Arabidopsis thaliana: one gene and its partner. The protein of the gene in region 1 interacts with the protein of each later gene in a biochemical or structural test. Each region holds a gene or a part of one and is shown on either strand. Other genes may lie near its edges.

Region 1 (3,936 bases):
ACAGCTTCGGGGTTGTGCTTCTGGAGATGGTTACATCGAAGAAGGCGATAGATTTCACTAGAGAAGAGGAAGATGTGAACCTGGTGATGTATATTAACAAGATGATGGATCAAGAGAGATTGACTGAATGCATCGATCCACTGCTGAAGAAGACAGCTAACAAGATTGACATGCAGACGATACAGCAGCTCGGGAATTTAGCATCTGCGTGCCTTAACGAACGGAGACAAAACCGACCTTCGATGAAAGAGGTTGCTGATGAGATTGAATACATCATCAATATTCTGTCACAAGAGGTTACTGAGACATAGCTGTCTTAGAAAATTACCAAAATGACTTGTACCCTTGCCCTGTTTCCGGTTATGGATTGGAGAAAAACAATTCATAGAAATGGATTTTTGTAAAATCATTGAGATGGGTTTTGTTTGATATCATATCAAGATCCAAAACATGGTATGAGACGATATAGCAGCTAAAAACCAATTAAAGAAAGATAAACCAACAGAAATCTGAAACCTATCGCAAGAGAGAGCGGGTTGCTGCCTGCAAAACTCAGTGTCTTTAGTGAATAAAACAGTAACTCCTGCAGAGGAACACGCGGCTGCAAGAGCGAGAAGTGCAGTGACCTGCAGAATTCCAAAAGAAACCTATCAAACAAATAACCTTTAAAACAACAAGACACCAACAGTGAATAAGCATATAATGAAATGGAAGATAAGTTTAATACCCAATCACCAACAGTGAAAAGGCTCAATAAGATAGGGCTTCGTAAATCACTTTTTCTCCTTATCGCATATACATCAAGACACGCAAGTCCAAAGCTCCATATCAATTGAAGACCCATAGATGCGACTAAGAAGCTGAAATCATTGGCAAAAGCAATCTATCATCATTTTGTATCTTTTGAGATAACCCCATACAGTAATCGAAATATAGAAATAATTCCATTTCCACATATTTTTTACCAAACAAAGAAAAAAATCTTGTCAAAGTTTCAGGCAAATGTTAATCATACACAATTACTAGTTCAGTTAGCTCTATCTTCAAAAGTTTATCCAAGAAAAAACTACAAAGTCAAGATTTTTGATACATCAGTGTCCAATGTCTTCAACTAAACTAAACTAAACCAAAACACCAAGACCAATGAGATTGAAGATGGACAATTACCAGAAAGCAGTGTAATTGGAAAAGTCGTAAGAAGAAACCATAACACCAATGGAAGCAGCAGCAGTTGCACATTGCCCTAGTCTCAGTATCAACCCACTCATTGTTCCAGGACTCCCAATCATCTTCTTCATTGATCAGAACCCAAAAACAAACACAATAAACAGAACAAAACCAAGACTTTCTATCCTGTTCCTCACCAAAATCCCCGGGAGAAAAAAATCGCTACTTTACAGGAAATTGATCATAAAAACCCTAAACCCATAATTTTATTCAGGAAAATTTCACAAACCCAAATCTCAAAAGTTGACTTATGATCATAAATCGTACGGAATTGGGTAATTAAGAGCATCGCCACCAGAAAACCAACATTAAAAATGACAACTTTTTTGAGCTATATGAATTTAAAAACAAGTATCTACCACAAATTTAATTCTGCTTTTTTGGAGGAACAATTATGTTTCCCTTAACTTCAAGCCAACGATATTAAAATTGAAGTTGGAAGAAACAGTGACGCAATTCTGACGCCGGCAAGAGCTATTTTGTTCTTCTCTCCTTTTGCCTTTAAGGACGTGTCCACACACAGACATTCCTCTCTCACTGTACGAATGACCAATTCCTTTTAATATATGGGCTTCTTATGGCCCATTAAGTAATTGGGCCTTATTAAATGGCTTTTTATCTCCTACATAATGCTTTGCACTATAAACAAACCTTAAACCTCTCTTCTTCTCTCAGTAAAACCCTCATTTCTGTTTCTCTTTTCACTTTTAAGGAAAACCCTAGAATCCTCAGAAATGGCGTTGAGCACCGTGTTTCGTCGAGCTTCGTCAACAGTAGCCAATCTTGCTTTCCGTGCGGGTAGATCTCCGGTTAGCTTCCGCAGTGGCGCTGTCTCCGTCGAGAGGCTGATTCGTGGTAGCCACCAGATCAGGCGTGGATCGGTTAGTTCATTCTCAGTCTCGAGCTTTTCGACGGAAAGTGCGATCTCTAAAACAACCGCCGACGAGAATCTTGTTAGCGTTATCGAATCTGAAATCGAATGCGCCGTCGCAGAGGAGGCTCCTCATGACACTGACTTCGTAAGTTCTCTCTTTCAATATACATGATTCTTCTCGAATTCATGAGATTTTAATATTTCTGGGGTTTAGAACAATTGTATCTGAATTAGAAATGTTTTGGAAAAACAGTTGGAAGATAAGCCAGAAGGGTTTCCATTTGAAATCATTGATAATTCAGGGGAGAGAACTGTGTTGCTGACAAGGAAATTTGAGGATGAAACCATCCAAGTGGAAGTTGACTCTGTTGCTTCTTATGATGATGAAGATGAAGAAGAGGAAGCAGAACCAAACAATGAAGAAGACGATGAAGATCAAGAGAGCTCGGGTAAAGTCCGGGTTCCGATGGTTGTTAGTGTGCAGAAAGGTGATGGTGTGTGTCTTGAGTTTGGAGTCAGCGCATACCCGGATGAGATTGTGATTGATAGTTTATCGATCAAACAACCGCAAGGATCTGATAATGACCTTGCTTACGAAGGACCTGACTTTGAGTAAGTTTACTTCAATGATAGTGAGTTCTTGTTTGGAATATATGAGATTGGGGTATTGTTATGTGATTGAATTTGGTTATTGTGTTATGTGCAGTGACTTGGATGAGAATTTGCAGAAGGCTTTCCACAGGTACTTGGAGATCAGAGGTATTAAACCAAGCTTCACTACCTTTCTGGCAGATTATGTGGCCAACAAAGATAGCAGAGAGTATCTTCAATGGCTCAAGGATCTCAAGTCTTTTGTCGAGAAGTGAAACTGAACTTTGTTCAGAGAATAAGAGCGAGATTTCTTTTTGCTTTAAACTTTTGAGTTTATCTTAGATGAACTTGATATCACCATGAGCAATCGTTGAAAGTGAGGTCATGTGTTATGCTTGTTAACAATATTGCTACATGTTTTTAATGGGTTTTTAGGTACTTTGCTAGATATAAGATGCAACTCTTTCGAGTGTCAGTTGGAAAAAATGTTACGACCTCAATAAAGTATAATTCTTTTGCATTTTCCCATTGCCTATTCTTATCCGAAAACTCTCGGCTAAGTAGTCAAATCATTTGTTTATTTTCCATTTCTTGTTATCTCATTATTATTGTTACTAGACCTCTCAACCCAAAAAAAGAAAGAAAAAAATGCAAGCTATTAAACGATTCTAGGACTTTACACAAAGGGTTTTGTGTTAGAACGAAGAACAACAAAGCTAGCTTTACAAGTCTTTAGCAAAAAAAAGAGAGGATTTTGCTAGCAAAAAGAGCTCAGAGCTCAAATCTCAAATCAAAGAAAAAACAGATGATCCCAGTCATTGAGCAACAAATCCAGATTGAACATCCATAGTACAGTGTTAACGAAACCGGGTTTATCTTGGAGAAAGGCAGTAAGTTTGGTCTTTACAGCGTTATGTCCTCAGCAGAACACGATCATGGTGGTACAAGCTGCCAAAGACTGTCAACATTTCAGAAAATCTAACCATCCAGTTAAGCAAATAGATGTTAGACTAAGAAGAAGATATTTCAAACTTACATTACTCTAAATCTCGCTGTAGTTACGCCATACTGCTCGGAATTCCTCCCTAAATGTGTTAAAACGTGCCTTCAAGTTCGGTGTTCTCAAGCTTGCATGAAGAATTGTTGCTGTAACACAAATTACAAAAAGAGGTTGAGTTTATAAAAGCCTATATGTGGATTTTTGAAGTAGAGTGAGAGAAACTAAGTTATGACTTATGAGGATT
Region 2 (7,943 bases), 5.1 Mb from region 1:
TATTCATCTCAACACTCAATAGAGCAGTAATTTCGTAGAGGTGTTAATTTGTGTTAATTTTCTCAGGAAACACAGAGCAGCGGTGCAGAATCTGTTGTCCAGAAGGCAGAAGATGTTGTGAGCAGCATGTTAGCAAAGGGTTTCATTCTTGGGAAAGATGCTGTCGGCAAAGCAAAAGCTTTTGATGAGAAACATGGTTTCACCTCAACCGCCACCGCAGGAGTTGCTTCACTAGACCAAAAAATCGGTCTTAGCCAGAAACTTACAGCTGGAACAAGCTTGGTGAACGAAAAAATCAAGGCGGTGGACCAAAACTTTCAGGTAACAGAGAGGACCAAGTCTGTGTATGCAGCTGCGGAGCAGACTGTGAGCAGTGCAGGAAGCGCTGTGATGAAGAACCGTTACGTGTTAACTGGTGTGAGCTGGGCCGCAGGAGCATTCAATAGAGTGGCTCAAGCAGCTGGAGAGGTTGGACAGAAAACAAAAGAGAAGGTTGAAGCTGAGCAACCATCGCAACCAGCACAGTCGCAGCAGCAACTGCCAGAAGGGTATTCTCCGATTCATTCGTCCGAATACTCGAAGAACTAATATCATCAAGTTAAACAGTTTCCTTTGTTTCTCCTTGTTGGTTTCTTTGACATGGAAGTTGGAAATCTGGTTTGGTCTTTGGGATGTACCATATAAGCTATGCCTGGATTTTCCCTACCACTATTAGACTATAGTTTGGGTTTTTTCCAATATACATATTTAATAAGTTGACATTTAAATCTTTCTTTACCCTAAATGTTACAAATCCATTTTGTTCCTAGATTATCAAAATGACTGAAATAGAAATTTAAAGGATCTACCTAAGTTTCGATGATAAAATCTAGTTAAGATCAGTTTCAATAATTCAACTTCCACAGCGAAGAAGAGTTTGACCGGTCTGTTGCATACCTCAATTCCGACGATAGCTGCTGAGAAAGAGAGTGTTTAGAAAGTGCAGATTTTAAATAGATCAAGAGCATTCGATATCTCGAGTTTTTCTTCTTCAGAACTTGAATATAAGCGTCTAAGCCAAGCCATATCACTTCTTCTTTGTATAGTTTAAGAACTGGTCTGAAACTAGAACCAGTGTTGATTCTGCGCACCCTTCTATTTATGAGTCTGAACATGTACCTATCAGTTGGAAAGAAATCAAGAACCGAATAAGCAAAAAAAGACCGAATAACTCAAATCAGAATGATCCAAAAACCGAAATGCTCACAGACATATGATGTAGTTTTGATTCCATACCTGACAGATATTGTGATGAATTTGAACAAAGTTTGAGGATGAAGCTTCCAAAACCGGGACACCTCGTAGACATAACAGTGAAACTTCATTGCAGCCAACAGAAAGATCTGATAGATGTTTAACCTGACGATTTCTCCCGAGTTGATGTTCGAGTCAAATAGAATTGGATGACATTTCGGAACCAAGAAGTAACACAATTTTTGCCGAAGATTTCTAACTGGTTTGTTCTGCCAAGCTACAGAAAAAGTTGAGCTTATATGGCCACTCAAGTACCTGTTTCCATGAATTTGAGGCAAAATTATAAATAAAAGCTGAGGAAACAGAGCCAAACAAGTATACTTATGAAGGAAACATACAGGAGATGAGGCAGACCTTGTGTAGTCAACTTGAACTTCAAATGTGCGGGAATTAATAAGCAAACCCGTCCATCTGACAAAAGGAACTCCATTATCTCCCACAAACATTCTATTAGAAGAACACCTATGTTCTTCTTTATCTTCAAAATTTATGCAGAATTTTGTTTCGTTCATGAAGCAGTTGTAATCTTTAAATCCATGCTTCAACCTGTGATAGAAGCTACTCGCCTGATCTCTTGAGGTAGACACAAAAAGGTAGTCATCAATAAATCTCAGTAACTTATAGCTCGTGGGAATTATAAGCTCTTCCTCTCTACTGCATTCTTTAGAAGACACATCTTTAGAGGCTTCTTCGAGGAATGGGTAGATCAAAGTCCTCTCGAGATGCCCGTAGTAAAAACAACATAACAAGGATGATAATCTGTGTCCCTGAGGTATTCCAGCTATTTGTACATAGAAGCTTTTATCCAACTGCAGCATGTTGTTCTTTAGCATATTTCCTATCCAAACCATTAGATCCTTTTTCCTCACTCGATGGTTTTCTCCCTAGAAGGTTGGACCAAAACCATAACACCGTTAAGCAAATAAGTAAAGAACAACAGGGACGCTACAAGCACTAAGAAAAGAGATCTCTAGAGATTTTTTTAAGTAGTCCAATAGTTTTGTATTTTACCCTCTGCAAAAAGATCAAAAAGCTCTAGGTCAAAAAGAAGCATACCTTATCAACCACGATACTTTGCAGTGCATTATATGGAACAGTTGATGTGAATCTTGAAAAGTTAGAATTTTTGTCACTCGAGACTAGTATTTTGTTTACCCAATTGGATCTCTTCCCACAGCAGACCAGCCTACATCTGTTTAAGATGTATTCATCTTTCAGAAAACTTTGAATGACATGAAGCAGCTTACCCTGGTCGACTGAATCAAATGCTTTGAATACATCCGCAACCACAAAGTACAAAGGAGGAAGTTCTCCAGATTGACTTCTTAAATGGATCAGATATGGGCATAGGTTTCTGTAGAAATCATCATGGTCAAAGACAGAAGACCCAAGAACATCTGGTTCTTTGAGCTGGATGTCCTTCAAAACAGCATGTGTATCACGAAGAGATTGCGACCTTGACGAAGAACTAAAGTCTAACACCATCCTCACACCATTGGCCTTTGGTAAAAATCTAAACTTTGATAGCTTCTTCCTGCTACTTTCAGCTTCAGCATCGTCTACTAGGACATATCCATCAAGGGCTTTGCTAATTTCTTTGCTTATTAATCTTTCCCAGCTCCTTTTCCGGTAATAATAAATATTTAGCCGTCCTCCTTGGCTTTCAGTGGCATAGAAGTTGAAGTGCACCAATTTCTTGACAATCTCTAAAAAAAGCCAAGAAATCCATTTCGTGCACAACATCTGCTGTGTACTTCTGATGGATTCACTTTGGAGTTCATGTCCGTTGACCATACAGCATAACTCTTTTCTAGCAAAGAATGGGAAATCTGATGGTTTCACTTTATGCAAAAACTGATTCACTGTGCATTTCTCATTTCGTCGCCTTGAAACAAACCACGCTATATTTTTCCTAAGCACCCTCATCTGATGAGTGGTCCCAAGCAAACTTTCTGGAACAATGTACCTACAGATGGCCCAAATAAAGGAAACTACTTGGTCGTTCGTGCAATACAGCTTCCTTTCTTCAACACTGGGACATTTGGGTTTTCCCGTTTGTGATGAACTTGATCCATGAGGCAGCTTATCTGCTTTTTGCCTCCTTGAACTCTGTAATACAAGATATGCAAGGTTCGTCACTTCAAGGAAGCACTTGGAAGTGCCACGGATATGAATTCTTATGCAGGTTTGCACTATATATCCAAAGTCTATAAAGTAGCAACTGTGTTGATTTTCCATTTCTAGTTTCTTTTTGTTGTACATATTCGAATATTCAACATAACTTCTCTGAAATAGAAATACTCAAAAGACATCAAACGAAAAACGCTAGGGAAATTAAATATGAAAACCATCTCTAAAAGAAAAATATCAACCTGAGAAGTCGTTCCGGACTTCAATGCATCCTCTTGCAGCAAGAGAACAGGACAGTGTTTGTCTAGTAGCATTTTTAAATGTGAAGACTTTGTTTTTCCTATTAGATTTTTAAGAGACTTGAGCAATGAATGGTATCTGCAAATCAATGTAAAAGACATCATGATATCATTTTCTTCTTTGCATCAGTTACCTCAACAAAACTTTTAAACAAATTCCTTTTATAACTCAGACTACTTAGATATGTGCTCTACATTATCTGAATACATGCTCCAAGTCTCAGAGTAAGCCGAAGAACTTACAAGAATAAATGGATGACTTACAAGCAAATAGATCCACTGGGGCAATTGCCTTTGCCATGAGATGGCGTCGTTGACCAAACATTTACTTCACCAAATATATGGTTCATTAGGAGCTTTGAATCAGAGCAGTTGGGCCTCAAGGTTTTTAAAATGTCTGTATATCATAAGGAATCATTCACAATGCAGAAGAACTGTATAGAGAAGAGTAACGTTTAAACTTCCATCAAGCTATCGTTGCTACAAGTCATTGAACATGTCAAAACCACTGAAGGATACGGTTTGGTGGTATAACTGAATACGTTTCTGAGAGGCCAAACTTGAAATTCTTGTTTCTTTTAACCTGTTTAGCCTACAAAAAACAGTGATTAAATCTTACAAATACAAGAACAGATTGTCGAATTTGAAGGTAATGAAGTGTCAGGAAGAATATTAATAACCACCAGAATACAACAAGATAAATGATACAGTTTTTAAAATACACCAAAGTACAACTACAAAAATAGTCCCATCAATTTCTCAAGGCTGAGGATAAATCAAGAGCAATTTATACACGTCTCTTAGTAATTTTAAGCAATAACTTTATGTTTAAACTTGTGCATTTTCAACTTAAACTTGATTGATCAATATCATTGTTACGAACATTACCTGCTTTACAAAATCAGTGAGACTTCCATTTATACCAATGTGCAGATTCATTTCGTCATTACCAGTTGAGACTTTACCATTTGTACTGGGAGTTATACAAGGAGCATTACAGTCAACTTTTTTGAAATTGACCTTTCTCTGCTTTCGCCGACGCTTAAGATATATTCTTGAACGCTTAGTAGTTTTTTTCTCTCTATGTTGGTCTACATCCTCGCCAACTATGGGCGTAATAGTTGCAGAGTCATCCTTAGGACAGTCATCGACAGCTGAAGAAAGCCACTGCCTTTTCGTTGGTGGCTGAACGTTGTCATCCCTCTTTCTTTTGTTTTCATGGACTGACAATGTCCCTATACCATGGAGAAGGAAAACTTTACTAAGTTAATATGAACTAAAAACCAGAAGTTGATAATCGATAACCAAGCAGTCACAGACAAATCATAAGTATTCAGAGAACCAACAAGAAAGTGGAAGTTTCAAAAGAAAGCCAACAGAAGAGCTCGGATACAAGTTTAATTCTGAGACTCACGCTTATGCTTGATACATAGAGGAGGTCCAGACACTTGCTGGTGTTTTTTCCCTAGTAATGGTAAGAATATTGATGTTTGCTGTAGAAGATAAACCATGACGTCATGACCGACCTATAAACAAGGGAACTTGAATATTAGTGACCGCAAACTCGAATATTGAAAGTAAATCATCAAAAGGGTTTGAGAACAAACCCGCTTGAGAAGAAACTCCCAAGATGAACTTGTCAATAGCTCCAAAATAGGGCTCGACTGATCATACTGTCAAAGGAGACGAGAAATCATTAGGCTAAGAAAATCAGCACTCTACATTGAGTTTGAGAAGGAAGAAGAAGAATTCACCTTATCATATCTGGCACATATCACATTTTGGCAATCACATCCAGATTGCATCATTTCAATAATCCTTTCAACAATCTGATAAACTCAATTGAAGCAAAATGTTTAGAAATCAGCAACATCATACAAAATAAGATAACATAGAGGCATTTTATAAGGAGTAGCCACGTCTTGAAATATCTCAAATTAAGCACTCAAAGCAATGTATAGTACAGTGGGAAGAAGAATCTTACCTCTCTCTGTGACCACCAAGATGTTGGAGAGAAATCCAGAAGCGGAGGGGTTTGTTCGTGAAGTACAACGAAGCAACGGTGAAGAAGTTTACGGTAGTGAATGGGATCATCGGAACGCAGCAGAAACGCCGGTTTATCGCTGCTGCAACCGAGACAACCTTGACCCCGGCATCGGCATTGCTCCGGCTGGATATTCCGGTTAGGAATCAGATCTACTATTGCGTCGTTTAAATTCCTGGCTCTGTTTCCGAATAACCTCCATAGAATCTCCGGTACACGATGTCTAGGTTTACGCGGCATTACACCTTCCTCCTCCTTTCTCTCGAATTTGGAGAGAGAGAAGAGTGAACGAGCTTCGATAATGGAGTCTGATGGTGTGAAAGAGGCGGGAGATTAAAGGTCTTCTGGGTTCTCGAAACTATAAACTGCGATTTTGAAAATTTCAAAACAATTCAAAGCTGAGCTACAAACGCTATCCAAAGCGTCCACTCAACCGCAAACGCAGGTCGCTTAGCACATAAACCGAACCGAAATTCGCTTTAAATTTTAATCGGTCTATTATACTTTCTTCTTCTTTTCACATCCGGTTTCATTACTTTCTTCAAATTTCCAATCTAAAACCGGGATATAACCGAATTGATTTGTTTAGTTTAAACGCAGAAATCACCCGCCACTCTAGTTACAGTAGTATGATCCGCCGCCTTCTCATCCCCAACGCCGCCGCAAAATCTCACCAGTACATTAAAGTCTCTCTCTTCTCGACATCGGCGCCGGAGATAACACCGCCGTTTATTCACAAATGCAAAACCATCTCTCAGGTCAAGCTTATTCACCAGAAACTCCTCTCTTTCGGAATCCTAACCTTGAATCTCACTTCCCACCTCATTTCCACCTATATCTCCGTCGGTTGCTTATCTCATGCCGTATCTCTCCTCCGTCGTTTTCCTCCATCTGACGCTGGTGTCTACCATTGGAATTCACTCATTCGCAGCTACGGCGACAATGGCTGCGCCAATAAATGTCTCTATTTGTTCGGCCTTATGCATTCTCTGTCATGGACGCCGGATAATTACACATTCCCCTTCGTCTTCAAGGCTTGCGGCGAGATATCCTCCGTTCGTTGTGGAGAATCTGCTCACGCGCTTTCTCTGGTAACTGGATTTATCTCCAATGTCTTTGTTGGGAATGCGCTTGTTGCTATGTATTCCCGTTGTCGTTCATTGAGTGATGCACGGAAGGTGTTCGACGAAATGTCTGTTTGGGATGTTGTATCGTGGAACTCTATAATAGAAAGTTATGCAAAGTTAGGCAAACCTAAGGTGGCGCTTGAAATGTTTAGCAGGATGACCAATGAATTCGGATGTAGACCTGATAATATTACCCTTGTGAATGTTCTTCCTCCTTGTGCTTCCCTAGGAACTCATTCACTAGGGAAGCAATTGCATTGTTTTGCAGTCACAAGTGAGATGATACAGAATATGTTTGTAGGGAATTGCTTGGTGGATATGTATGCAAAGTGTGGGATGATGGATGAGGCAAACACGGTGTTTTCGAACATGTCAGTGAAGGACGTAGTATCTTGGAATGCTATGGTTGCTGGGTATTCACAGATTGGAAGGTTTGAAGATGCTGTTAGGTTATTTGAGAAGATGCAGGAAGAGAAAATAAAAATGGATGTTGTTACTTGGAGTGCTGCTATTTCAGGGTATGCTCAACGGGGACTTGGATATGAAGCTTTGGGTGTGTGTAGGCAGATGTTGTCTTCTGGGATAAAACCAAATGAAGTCACGCTTATTTCGGTTCTTTCGGGTTGTGCTTCTGTTGGAGCATTGATGCATGGTAAAGAGATTCATTGTTATGCCATCAAATATCCCATAGACTTGCGTAAGAACGGTCATGGTGATGAGAATATGGTAATCAATCAACTGATTGACATGTACGCTAAGTGCAAAAAGGTTGATACTGCACGTGCTATGTTTGATTCACTTTCCCCCAAGGAAAGGGATGTTGTGACTTGGACTGTGATGATAGGTGGATACTCCCAGCACGGGGATGCAAATAAAGCTCTCGAACTTTTATCTGAGATGTTTGAGGAAGATTGCCAAACAAGACCAAATGCTTTTACCATATCATGTGCCCTCGTGGCATGTGCCAGTTTGGCTGCACTAAGAATTGGCAAGCAGATTCATGCTTATGCGTTGCGCAACCAGCAGAATGCAGTACCGCTGTTCGTATCA

What was found.
Region 2: the proteins of AT5G02050 (region 1) and TERT form a complex in vitro, tested with the Arabidopsis thaliana proteins (one study listed by BioGRID).

Annotation. Positions count from the first base shown.
Region 1 is NC_003076.8:402,270-406,205, reverse strand, and holds AT5G02050 (Mitochondrial glycoprotein family protein), read left to right. Parts: upstream 1-1,859; 5' UTR 1,860-1,961; coding exon 1,962-2,246; intron 2,247-2,354; coding exon 2,355-2,713; intron 2,714-2,807; coding exon 2,808-2,967; 3' UTR 2,968-3,227; downstream 3,228-3,936. Other genes in the region: AT5G02070 (Protein kinase family protein), read left to right, coding at 1-311; AT5G02060 (Uncharacterized protein family (UPF0497)), read right to left, coding at 432-626, 728-860, 1,168-1,298; PRA1.A1 (prenylated RAB acceptor 1.A1), read right to left, coding at 3,735-3,838.
Region 2 is NC_003076.8:5,537,439-5,545,381, forward strand, and holds TERT (telomerase reverse transcriptase), read right to left. Parts: upstream 6,122-7,943; 5' UTR 6,007-6,121; coding exon 5,707-6,006; intron 5,552-5,706; coding exon 5,477-5,551; intron 5,396-5,476; coding exon 5,330-5,395; intron 5,249-5,329; coding exon 5,137-5,248; intron 4,958-5,136; coding exon 4,611-4,957; intron 4,315-4,610; coding exon 4,242-4,314; intron 4,120-4,241; coding exon 3,987-4,119; intron 3,802-3,986; coding exon 3,666-3,801; intron 3,403-3,665; coding exon 2,350-3,402; intron 2,178-2,349; coding exon 1,648-2,177; coding exon of another isoform or gene 1,632-1,647; intron 1,549-1,631; coding exon 1,276-1,548; intron 1,159-1,275; coding exon 885-1,158; 3' UTR 742-884; downstream 1-741. Other genes in the region: BPA1 (binding partner of acd11 1), read left to right, coding at 67-588; AT5G16860 (Tetratricopeptide repeat (TPR)-like superfamily protein), read left to right, coding at 6,396-7,943. UniProt on the Arabidopsis thaliana protein: Telomerase is a ribonucleoprotein enzyme essential for the replication of chromosome termini in most eukaryotes. It elongates telomeres.